2 linked regions of the Xenopus tropicalis genome follow. The protein of the gene in region 1 interacts with the protein of each later gene in a pairwise test. Links are inferred from orthologs where the notes say so. Each region holds a gene or a part of one and is shown in the gene's direction. Other genes may lie near its edges.

Region 1 (5,616 bases):
TATGGTATCTCTCTGTACAGGCTATGAGCAAACTTAGGGGGCTGTTCCTGCTGAATTGTGCTTAGTACAGGGGAATCCCTATGTGCCATAGGTTTATGGTATCTCTCTGTACAGGCTTTGGGCAAACTTAGGGGGCTGTTCCTGCTGAATTGTGCTTAGTACAGGGGAATCCCTATGTGCCATAGTTTTATGATATCTCTCTGTACAGGCTATGAGCAAACTTAGGGGGCTGTTCCTGCTGAATTGTGCTTAGTACAGGGGAATCCCTATGTGCCATAGTTTTATGATATCTCTCTGTACAGGCTATGAGCAAACTTAGGGGGCTGTTCCTGCTGAATTGTGCTTAGTACAGGGGAATCCCTATGTGCCATAGTTTTATGGTATCTCTCTGTACAGGCTATGAGCAAACTTAGGGGGCTGTTCCTGCTGAATTGTGCTTAGTACAGGGGAATCCCTATGTGCCATAGTTTTATGTTGTCTCTCTGTACAGGCTATGAGCAAACTTAGGGGGCTGTTCCTGCTGAACTGTGCTTAGTAAAGGGTAATGCAGACTGCAAACACCCAATAGGATGTCTATGTTCTAGGCCATGACGACCAGGGAACAGTTCCACACACAATATTCCAAGAGCCTCATTAACATGGATTCGTACAGGCGGCAGTTGCGGGAGATGGGGGAGAAGTGCGACGACCTGCAGATCCAGCTGTTCAGGATGGAACGGGAAACTCTGGCCATGAAGACCGACCTGAATAAGTTAAAGTCTCCAGCGCTGGTAAATGGCTACGGGGCTAGTGGCCCATCCCTTCCTGGTTATTGCAAACTTCACCCCTTATCTACCCAGGCCATGCCCTAATTATGCTAAAGCCCCACCCATTATCCAGTTAACTCCACCCATTCACCACAAGCCCCACCCCTAATAATTCTTTTTATCATATTGGGGCCCCTGATAGTCACCGCTAGGCATCATACATTGCAATAAACCCCATTTTTTTTTTCTTTCAGACCTCGGATTTTGAAGAGCTTTCACCCCAGGAGGTAAGTACTTTATAGGGGTGCAATTACCCCCCCCCCCCCCCCCCCCGTTTGTGACTTGCTTGTCAGTATGACCTGTGGTTTTCTTCTCTCCCATAAAGAGCCACAATTCCCCAGATAACAAGCACCCAGAGACTGCACAGCGTAAGTATTTATATTTATATTATGTCTCAGTCTGTATATTTGTATTTATACATATGGGTAGGAGGTGCCATAGTGTTTCCCTTAGACAGTACAGTATGGGGGTACAGCTTATTGTGTGCCCAGAACATTCCTTCTCTGTATATTTGTATTTATACATATGGGTAGGGGGTGCCATAGTGTTTCCCTTAGACAGTACAGTATGGGGGTACAGCTTATTGTGTGCCCAGAACATTCCTTCTCTGTATATTTGTATTTATACATATGGGTAGGGGGTGCCATAGTGTTTCCCTTAGACAGTACAGTATGGGGGTACAGCTTATTGTGTGCCCAGAACATTCCTTCTCTGTATATTTGTATTTACACATATGGGTAGGAGGTGCCATAGTGTTTCCCTTAGACAGTACAGTATGGGGGTACAGCTTATTGTGTGCCCAGAACATTCCTTCTCTGTATATTTGTATTTATACATATGGGAGGGAGGTGCCATAGTGTTTCCCTTAGACAGTACAGTATGGGGGTACAGCTTATTGTGTGCCCAGAACATTCCTTCTCTGTATATTTGTATTTATACATATGGGTAGGGGGTGCCATAGTGTTTCCCTTAGACAGTACAGTATGGGGGTACAGCTTATTGTGTGCCCAGAACATTCCTTCTCTGTATATTTGTATTTATACATATGGGTAGGGGGTGCCATAGTGTTTCCCTTAGACAGTACAGTATGAGGGTACAGCTTATTGTGTGCCCAGAACATTCCTTCTCTGTATATTTGTATTTATACATATGGGTAGGGGGTGCCATAGTGTTTCCCTTAGACAGTACAGTATGGGGGTACAGCTTATTGTGTGCCCAGAACATTCCTTCTCTGTATATCTGTATTTATACATATGGGTATGGGGTGCCATAGTGTTTCCCTTAGACAGTACAGTATGGGGGTACAGCTTATTGTGTGCCCAGAACATTCCTTCTCTGTATATTTGTATTTATACATATGGGTAGGAGGTGCCATAGTGTTTCCCTTAGACAGTACAGTATGGGGGTGGAGCTTATCGTGTGTATATCTGTATGTAACCAGCAGTCTCTCCCACATACAGAGGAACAGAAGAATAACCCCAATTCCAAGAACGTGGCAGAGGCAGCGCAAGCACAGAATGTAAGGAACAACTGATAACTCTTTAGGGAATATTAAACCTGATGTTCTCCAGAACTACAAATCCCAGCATCCTTTGACAGACAGGCATTTGTAATCCAGCCAATGGTTAGACATTTGGGTTAAAGGCAGCCGTACACTGGCTGAGACAGATCCAAGTGATCAGGGGGCGGGCTCAGTACGAATGGTCACATGGTATGGCTGCCTTTCTGTTGCACTTTGTTAGGGCTGACAGCATCTCATTGAATATAAAGGCAGCCAATCAGCATCTCCGCCAGTTTAGTGTTCCAGTAATCATCCAGAACCACTCTAGCCAATCAGCATGTAATGAAAAGAAGGCAGCCAATCAGTATCTAATCCAGCATTCCCTGTGTTCCAGAGCAGTCCGGTAAATGGATTTGGCATTAGAAGGAAGGTCAATAACAGTTTTGAAGACATCCGAAGGTAACGTGTTACTATGGTTACAGTCCCACCCACTTCCCAGCATGCCCCTCCCCCTGCCATGTGTTTCATATCTGTATGAGCACTGAGAAGCCTCTGTATAAACAAACCCCTCCCTTCCCTCAGCAGCAGCCTGTCATTGGAAATGTTGTTTAGAATGACATTTTCTTCCTTTCTTTAAACAGTATTTCCCCCCCGGAGAAGCCTCTGTATAAACGAGTCCCTCCCTTCCCTCAGCAGCAGCCTGTCATTGGAACTGTTGCATAGAATGACATTTTCTTTCTTTCTTTAAACATTATTTCCCCCCCCCGAGAAGCCTCTGTATAAACAAACCCCTCCCTTCCCTCAGCAGCAGCCTATCATTGGAACTGTTGCATAGAATGACATTTTCTTTCTTTCTTAAATCTTTATTTCCCTCCCCGAGGAGCCTCTGTATAAACAAACCCCTCCCTTCCCTCAGCAGCAGCCTGTCATTGGAACGGTTGCATAGAATGACATTTTCTTTCTTTCTTAAATCTTTATTTCCCTCCCCGAGGAGCCTCTGTATAAACAAACCCCTCCCTTCCCTCAGCAGCAGCCTGTCATTGGAACTGTTGCATAGAATGACATTTTCTTTCTTTCTTAAATCTTTATTTCCCTCCCCGAGAAGCCTCTGTATAAACAAACCCCTCCCTTCCCTCAGCAGCAGCCTATCATTGGAAATTTTGCAAAGAATTACATTTTCTTTCTTTTATTAAACATTATTTCCCCCCCGCCCCCGAGAAGCCTCTGTATAAACAAACCCCTCCCTTCTCTCAGTTGCATAGAATGACATTTTTCTTTCTTTCTTTAAGGAAAAGGGTGCTGAAAACGCGGAGGAACTCCGAAGAATATTACACTACAGAAAGTGACGCTGAGGGGACCCCTTAGGGGCCACGCTATATTTTTTTAGTCTTGGCTTTGAAGAAAAGAGCAAGACCTGGACGGAGAGACTGCAGCATGGAGACTGGAGCCTTTAAGTGAAGCCCCGCCCCCACGTGCTGTCGGTGGGGGGGGGCCCTGAAACACAGCCTTAACGACAACGAAAGCCCCCCTTGCAAGTACAGTGTTTTTTGTTTACATTCCAAACCACCCACAGTGGTACAGGCAGCTCCGCCCCCTCCAGGCAAGAAGTGTTGGACTGGGGCCCCCTAGGGCCACACAAAGATTCCGACACCCAGGGCCCAGTCTCCCAGCAACTAGAGGGAGACAGGGTTATACAGGCCTATGGTGGAAATAAGAAAGGGATGATGGGAATTTTCCTTAGTTAGGGGCCCTGTAGAATTGGACCTATTGCCGATGCCCCCGGGCAACCCATTAGGAATAAGCTGTGCCACGAGAAGCTACTATGTTATATAAAGCTATGTTATGTAAAGTCCTGTGTTTTTATACTAAAGAGCAATTCTGTACTGTGGCTAAAGCATTAAACCCATACGCAAAGCTGTGTGTTACTTACCCTTTATGTGTCACGTGATCTCACTCTTGGCTGCTGGGAGTTGTAGGGGATCCGGAGCTGGAGGTCTCGTATGTAACGGTCAGGTGGGGCGGCTATTGGATTAGTATCTGTCTCTTTCCCTTCTCTGCACTGCTGGTTCTGACTCCTGATACAACTCCCCAATACCCATTCATCCCTCATTCTCACTGGGTTTATAGTTATGTGTAACTGTCACTGTGTCTGTCCCTTTCCCTTCCCTGCACTGCTGGTTCTGACTCCTGATACAACTCCCCAATATCCATTCATTCCTCATTCTCACTGGGTTTATAGTTATGTGTAACTGTCACTGTGTCTGTCCCTTTCCCTTCCCTGCACTGCTGGTTCTGACTCCTGATACAACTCCCCAATATCCATTCATCCCTCATTCTCACTGGGTTTATAGTTATGTGTAACTGTCACTGTGTCTGTCCCTTTCCCTTCCCTGCACTGCTGGTTCTGACTCCTGATACAACTCCCCAATATCCATTCATTCCTCATTCTCACTGGGTTTATAGTTATGTGTAACTGTCACTGTGTCTGTCCCTTTCCCTTCCCTGCACTGCTGGTTCTGACTCCTGATACAACTCCCCAATACCCATTCATTCCTCATTCTCACTGGGTTTATAGTTATGTGTAACTGTCACTGTGTCTGTCCCTTTCCCTTCCCTGCACTGCTGGTTCTGACTCCTGATACAACTCCCCAATATCCATTCATTCCTCATTCTCACTGGGTTTATAGTTATGTGTAACTGTCACTGTGTCTGTCCCTTTCCCTTCCCTGCACTGCTGGTTCTGACTCCTGATACAACTCCCCAATACCCATTCATTCATGCAGTATGTGATGTCATTTGGGGGTGTGTCTTACATATGGGGTGGGGGAAATGGGCAGGCGGGGTGGGGTAATAGGCTGGGGAATTACCCGCCAGGCCAGGGGTTCCCAACCTTCCTAATTCCGCGACCCTGTAATCCAGTTCATGTTGCGGTGACCCCCAACCATAAAATTATTCCTAAAACCACCGGAATGTGTGTTTTCCAATGGTCTTAGGCAACTCCTGTGTAAGGGTCATTCCACCCCCAAAGGGGTCCCGACCCACAGGTTGGGCTAGGGCTAGGCCTATGCTGCCCCCAGGGGGCTTTAGTTATTGAGGGGGGGGGAACTCAGCCTGAGGGCCAATCAGAGTGAGATTTGGGGTGAAGATGGTTTCGCTGGCCAAGCTATCAGTGGGGGGATACTGTACAGCAGAACCCATAACCCCGGAGGGGCCCGGACTGCCCACGGCATCTGTTATCCGGCACCATTTTACCTTACCCCCACTGGCCGGGGGCTTCATACAATGCTATTTTCCTATGGCTGTTACCAT
Region 2 (5,065 bases), on another chromosome or scaffold:
TTTGTGAGCTTTTGGCAACACAACATGGAGTTTGCAGTCAGATTTTTTCAAGTATGTGATCGTCCTAGAGTGATGCTTCCTCCATTTTTCAGGGAAATGGTAATTTTCAGAACAATAGTTTCAGATAGTAATGGTTACATGCATAATATTGTGTGCTAATATTGCACGCGGCGGAAAATAACACTAACACTGTCCTTTTAGTGAATCGATCGTTAAGTCGAAAAAAATAAGAAGTGATAACATTTTTAACGCATGCTATAAATAGCACTCATTTTATCGACCTTTAGTGAATCGGCCCCTGAGTCCGCAATAATCAAAAAAAGTTAAAATTAAACATCTTTATTATATTATATTATTATTATACTATATTTTGTGATTATTGTGGACTCAAGTCTTTTTATTGCTTTGGTTTTCCCTCTTTTGGTCACTTGAGGGCCAAGTCTGCATGCTTAAATTTTAATTTAATAGCCTTTTTTGACTTTTTCCTTTTTGGCTTTTGTGCAATATTTACAATAAAATTTTAGCCTCACAGGGTAATAGCTTTTTGACTGCACAAGTCAGTGTCCCCTGAAAAAAAAAACTATAAAAAAAAAACATGAAGACCCATTGAAGAGATGCTAAGAATACATGCTAAAAGTTAAAGGTGAACCAACCATTTAACAAAAAACATATATATCCTATTTACCATTCTACTTGTAGGGCTGCCCTTGTTTACTCAGAGTGATCTTCTGAGCACTTTGCAGTTTTTATAGTGGTAGTTTTTGACTGCTGATACCAGGTTTTCTCTGAAAGATTGTATGGGCCTTTTAAAGATTTATACATAATGAGCATTCTTCTGCAATATAAATAAACCCAACTTATATAGTTTATCCCCATAATTAAAACCTTCTTATCTCATTGTCCATGTCTATACCCTCTCCAGTTCCATAATTTCCTTTTTATTAATTGGATCCCAAAAATATAAATTCTGTGTATTCACAGCCTAAAAATTGTCAAAGGGCCCTTGGCACTTGCCCTTCCCTTATTCTCCCTCCATGTAAATTTGTTATTATTGAGCTCTCTTTTTGCAGCTGTTCATGTTGTCTCTTTTCTTTATGACAGTCAAAGGCAGCATATGTGCTCTTCTATCAAAGGCAAGATACCATTACTGGAACAGGTTTTTTTCCCCTTGACAAAGAAGTTAAGCAAGGTGCTTCAGCTGCCACGGGAGCCCCACATGAGAGCGATGAAGAATCGAATGAAGATGAAAACGACATAGAGAATGAAAATTGTATGCACACTAACTAGCAGAGGCCTGTGATGCCATAAGTACAACTGAGAAATGACACTTAGGTGAAATGCCTGCCAAAAATAGGTGGGGGGGGGGGGTTGCCTCAAATTGTGGTATTTTAGATTGTATAATTATTTGGGTTTTTTGTTTTTTTTTATGTTTTACTTATTTATTTTTTACTTTTTGTTGCAAAGTTCTCTACAAGGATGGTGCTATGGAAACTGATCAAACTATTTTTAGCTAGTTTATCTTGTTATTCCCATCAAAATGTATATAAGTAGTCACAAACTAGTTCATTTTTTCTGCTGCTCTTTTAATCAGTTTGCTTTTACTGATTTAGTTATTCCATACTCTTAAATGGCCCATAGTTTAACCATAATTGCCCATAGGCTTGCTTTTATTGGGAGGGAATGCATTTTAGTCTTATGCAGGAATGGCAAAATGTGGGCTGTTGCTTTATAACTTGACAGAGCAGGCTGGTAATAAGCAAATTTGCTTTGGCAAATGACATTTAAGACATTTTTGACGAGTTTTGTTTTTTTTGTTTTCGCAGACCTAGAAAAGCTGGATCATTGAGCCAAGGTTAATGTTAAAACATCTCTGGAATCAGTGCAAACTACTAAACAGCTGTATAAATGATATTGAGGAAAATAGCAAAGGTGTTTTAGCCTTTTGGTGATATAGGTTTGACTGTCTTGGTGATTCTACTTAATGATGCATATTTAATTTGGCCTTCATGATGCTGTGTCAGAGCAAGTTGCAACTGAATGTAAATGTCCCTCATCCCTTGTTGACTTCCTGTTATACTAATTAAAATTGGTGCATACATATGAACTTCTGTAAGTCATGCGTTTCAATTTTGTGTTGTAAATTTTATGAATTTGAATAAGTGAGTTGGTTGGCACAGCGCTCTCCGACAACACTGTAAATGTAACATTTATAAAATGGCACTCTGTGTCAGTGACAATGACTGTGGATTTATCTCAAATTATGTTCTTTTTATTTCACTTCAATTTTTCCCCTTTAAAATGTTAGACTTTTCTCCAGGTTAGGTCTGTGGAATTTCTTTCAGTGTGTGCTCCCTTTATAAGTCACCATGGCCTTACAATTCATCTCAAAGAAAAAATTGCTATGACATAGGACAACTGGCATTTGCATGTTCAAGTATCAGAACTTGTACTGTGTATATCGCATACAAGCCTTTCCTTTTATGTTGGCTAACTGCATTCAAGGGTCCAGGATGCCAAAAAAAAAAATCTGAACCATTAAACATTTTGTAAACCAACTTGTTCATTTGCTGCTTTACCCTGTGATCATGTTTGAAGAATGTACTGTTGTTTTGTATACTGCCTATAACAGGAACTCTAGACATTTTGGGACATGCTTTACATATCTACTACCTGAAGAGTTTCTTTCCTGTCCCTTTGTTTAAAGAAAGACATATGATGTTCTTCACTTGAACTAATATAATAAAAATACAATAGGTTTTAAATTGTGTATTGTAAATAAGAAGTTCACTCTGTGAGTGCACATTTTGGTAAATTATTTTATTTATACATTGGCATTAAGAATATGAATAAATGCATTTGACCAGGAGAAATGAGATATGGCGTTGCTTTCTAGCTCTGTATTAAAGCTAATGTGTTAACATTTGAGATGTCCAGCCTGCCCCCTCGGCCACTTTAGAACTACGACTCCCAGTATCCCATGATAGCCAAAGCCTGTTACAGAATGGTGCAAGCTATAGTTCAGTGTCTAAAGGAGGACAAGCTGGGCATCTCTGTCTTATATCCTGGTATTTTAAAGCTGCTTTGATTTTTGTTTTTTTATGTATAAGGTTATCCTTCTGCATGATGGAGGTAACAGGTTTGTCTGCACTTTAAGTTCACTTCCGTTTACATTTAAATTGTGCATGATTATTTATATAAATTTCAATAAAGTTGTTGAAGGCTTAATTGTTTTGTTTTGTTTTTGTGTAATGTGCTTATAATGATAAATAACACTCTTAGCAGGTAATGTAACACCTACCATTTTTTTAAGAAAGCAGTATAATGTCACTCATATAGGGAGAAAAAACCTAGAACTATTTTAGCCACATAAGGTGAGTCACTTTATGGTTGTTTCCTGCACGTGGATCAATGTTCTTATAACAATCAAATGCAACTATGCAGTATGTAATGGAGGATAAAGGCTAACAACAGTACTAAAAATAACACAATAATAAAGCTCCAACATATTCCACAGTGCTGTACGATAGAAGGGTGCATACACTGAAAGTATAGGTTACATACAAAACTACAGACAAGGGCCCTGTTAAGCATACATTCTACACAACCACCTGCTAATATGTAGCTGCTCTTACATGCAGAAATGAAAGCATTAAGGCTAAGCTTAATCATTTTTATTCATTTCATTCATATTCATTGCAAGAGGTGGATGTAGTAAATGTAACAATTAGGAGGTGGGCGGGCAGGGGGGCTATTGGCCTACTGCATGGAAAGGAGCTGATCACTCACCCTTCCCATTATTTGTGAATTATATTACCATTCCATTATAATTATAGCCTCCTGCTATCATGTCTGTGTCTTTCCAGTGGCTTATCCATAACCAGTCATTGGTTTCATTAGCATTTAAATTTTAAAATTTTTCTTTATATCAGGTAGTTACAATTGTATTGCCCCACGTGACACAAGACAAGACCCGTGGTTGTCACACATGCAGAGGATATTATAGCACATGGGCAGTTTAGAATCTTTCAGTTCATGTGACTGGGAAAAAATGAAACAAGGATTTACTTTTTTGTTGACCACCAGCTGCAGGGTCTGCAATAGTCCATTCAAATGATTGGGAAGCAGCTGTTATTTGGATTGCTGAGGACCATGTTGATTTAAAATGCTTGTATGCCATTGCAATTACAATTAATTTAGAATTCCAGTAATAGGCAGACATTGCCCCTTCTGGTGTCAGGTAAGACATGTTAATTAGCCTTTTCCATTCCGCAGGATTTACTTAAAACCAGATCAGTTATTCATGTTTGATTGCATACAAGTTGTGAGAGCCTTATGCAAAGAACAACATAGATATGATACAGGACTTAGAATAACATGTCCATCTGATTTCTATGTGACTTATTATTGGGGATGCAACTATTGGTCCAACTGCAGGGGTGTTAAAAGAAAACTATACCCCCAGAATAAATATTTAACCAGCAGATTGTTTATACTATAATAATTGGCCTCTTAAAGAATCTCGCCAAACTGTTGTATGTATATCAGTAAATATTGCCTTTTTACATCCTTTTCTGGAACCCCCATTTAGTGATGGGCTGTGTGTTCCCTCAGAGATCACCTAACAGGAAATAATGCAGCTCTAACTGTAACAGGAAAAAGTGTGGAAGCAAAAAGCAGAACTCTGTCCATTAATTGGCTGATGGGGCCTAGCATGTATGTGTGCCTTGGCTTGTTTGTGTGCACTGTGAATCCTGTTTCCAGGAGGCGGCCCTTAATTCTAGAAATGGCAGTTTTCTATTCAGGAGTACCCAATAGCACATACAGGTATGGGATCCCTTATCCGAAAACCCGTTATCCAGGGTTTTTTTTAAATAATTTTTAAAAATAATTTCCTTTTTCTCTGTAACAATAAAACAGTACCTGTACTTGATCCCAACTAAGATATAATTAATCCTTATTGTAAGGAAAACAAGCCTATTGGGTTTATTCAATATTTAAATGATTTTTAGCACACTTAAATTATGGAAATCCAAATTATGGAAAGATCCCTTATCTGTATTCTGCA

The links.
Region 2: the proteins of card9 (region 1) and usp15 interact in binary tests that used the Homo sapiens proteins (3 or more experiments, as listed by UniProt). The two-hybrid records come from large-scale screens. The link is inferred for Xenopus tropicalis from reciprocal best matches to the Homo sapiens genes CARD9 and USP15.

Annotation. Positions count from the first base shown.
Region 1 is NC_030684.2:6,396,956-6,402,571, reverse strand, and holds the end of card9 (caspase recruitment domain-containing protein 9), read left to right. Parts: intron 1-584; coding exon 585-770; intron 771-1,000; coding exon 1,001-1,033; intron 1,034-1,131; coding exon 1,132-1,174; intron 1,175-2,266; coding exon 2,267-2,325; intron 2,326-2,701; coding exon 2,702-2,766; intron 2,767-3,596; coding exon 3,597-3,672; 3' UTR 3,673-4,236; downstream 4,237-5,616. UniProt on the Homo sapiens protein: Adapter protein that plays a key role in innate immune response against fungi by forming signaling complexes downstream of C-type lectin receptors.
Region 2 is NC_030679.2:62,712,816-62,717,880, reverse strand, and holds the end of usp15 (ubiquitin carboxyl-terminal hydrolase 15), read left to right. Parts: intron 1-1,101; coding exon 1,102-1,270; coding exon of another isoform or gene 1,271-1,287; exon of another isoform or gene 1,288-1,332; intron 1,333-1,823; coding exon 1,824-1,846; 3' UTR 1,847-3,225; downstream 3,226-5,065. UniProt on the Homo sapiens protein: Hydrolase that removes conjugated ubiquitin from target proteins and regulates various pathways such as the TGF-beta receptor signaling, NF-kappa-B and RNF41/NRDP1-PRKN pathways.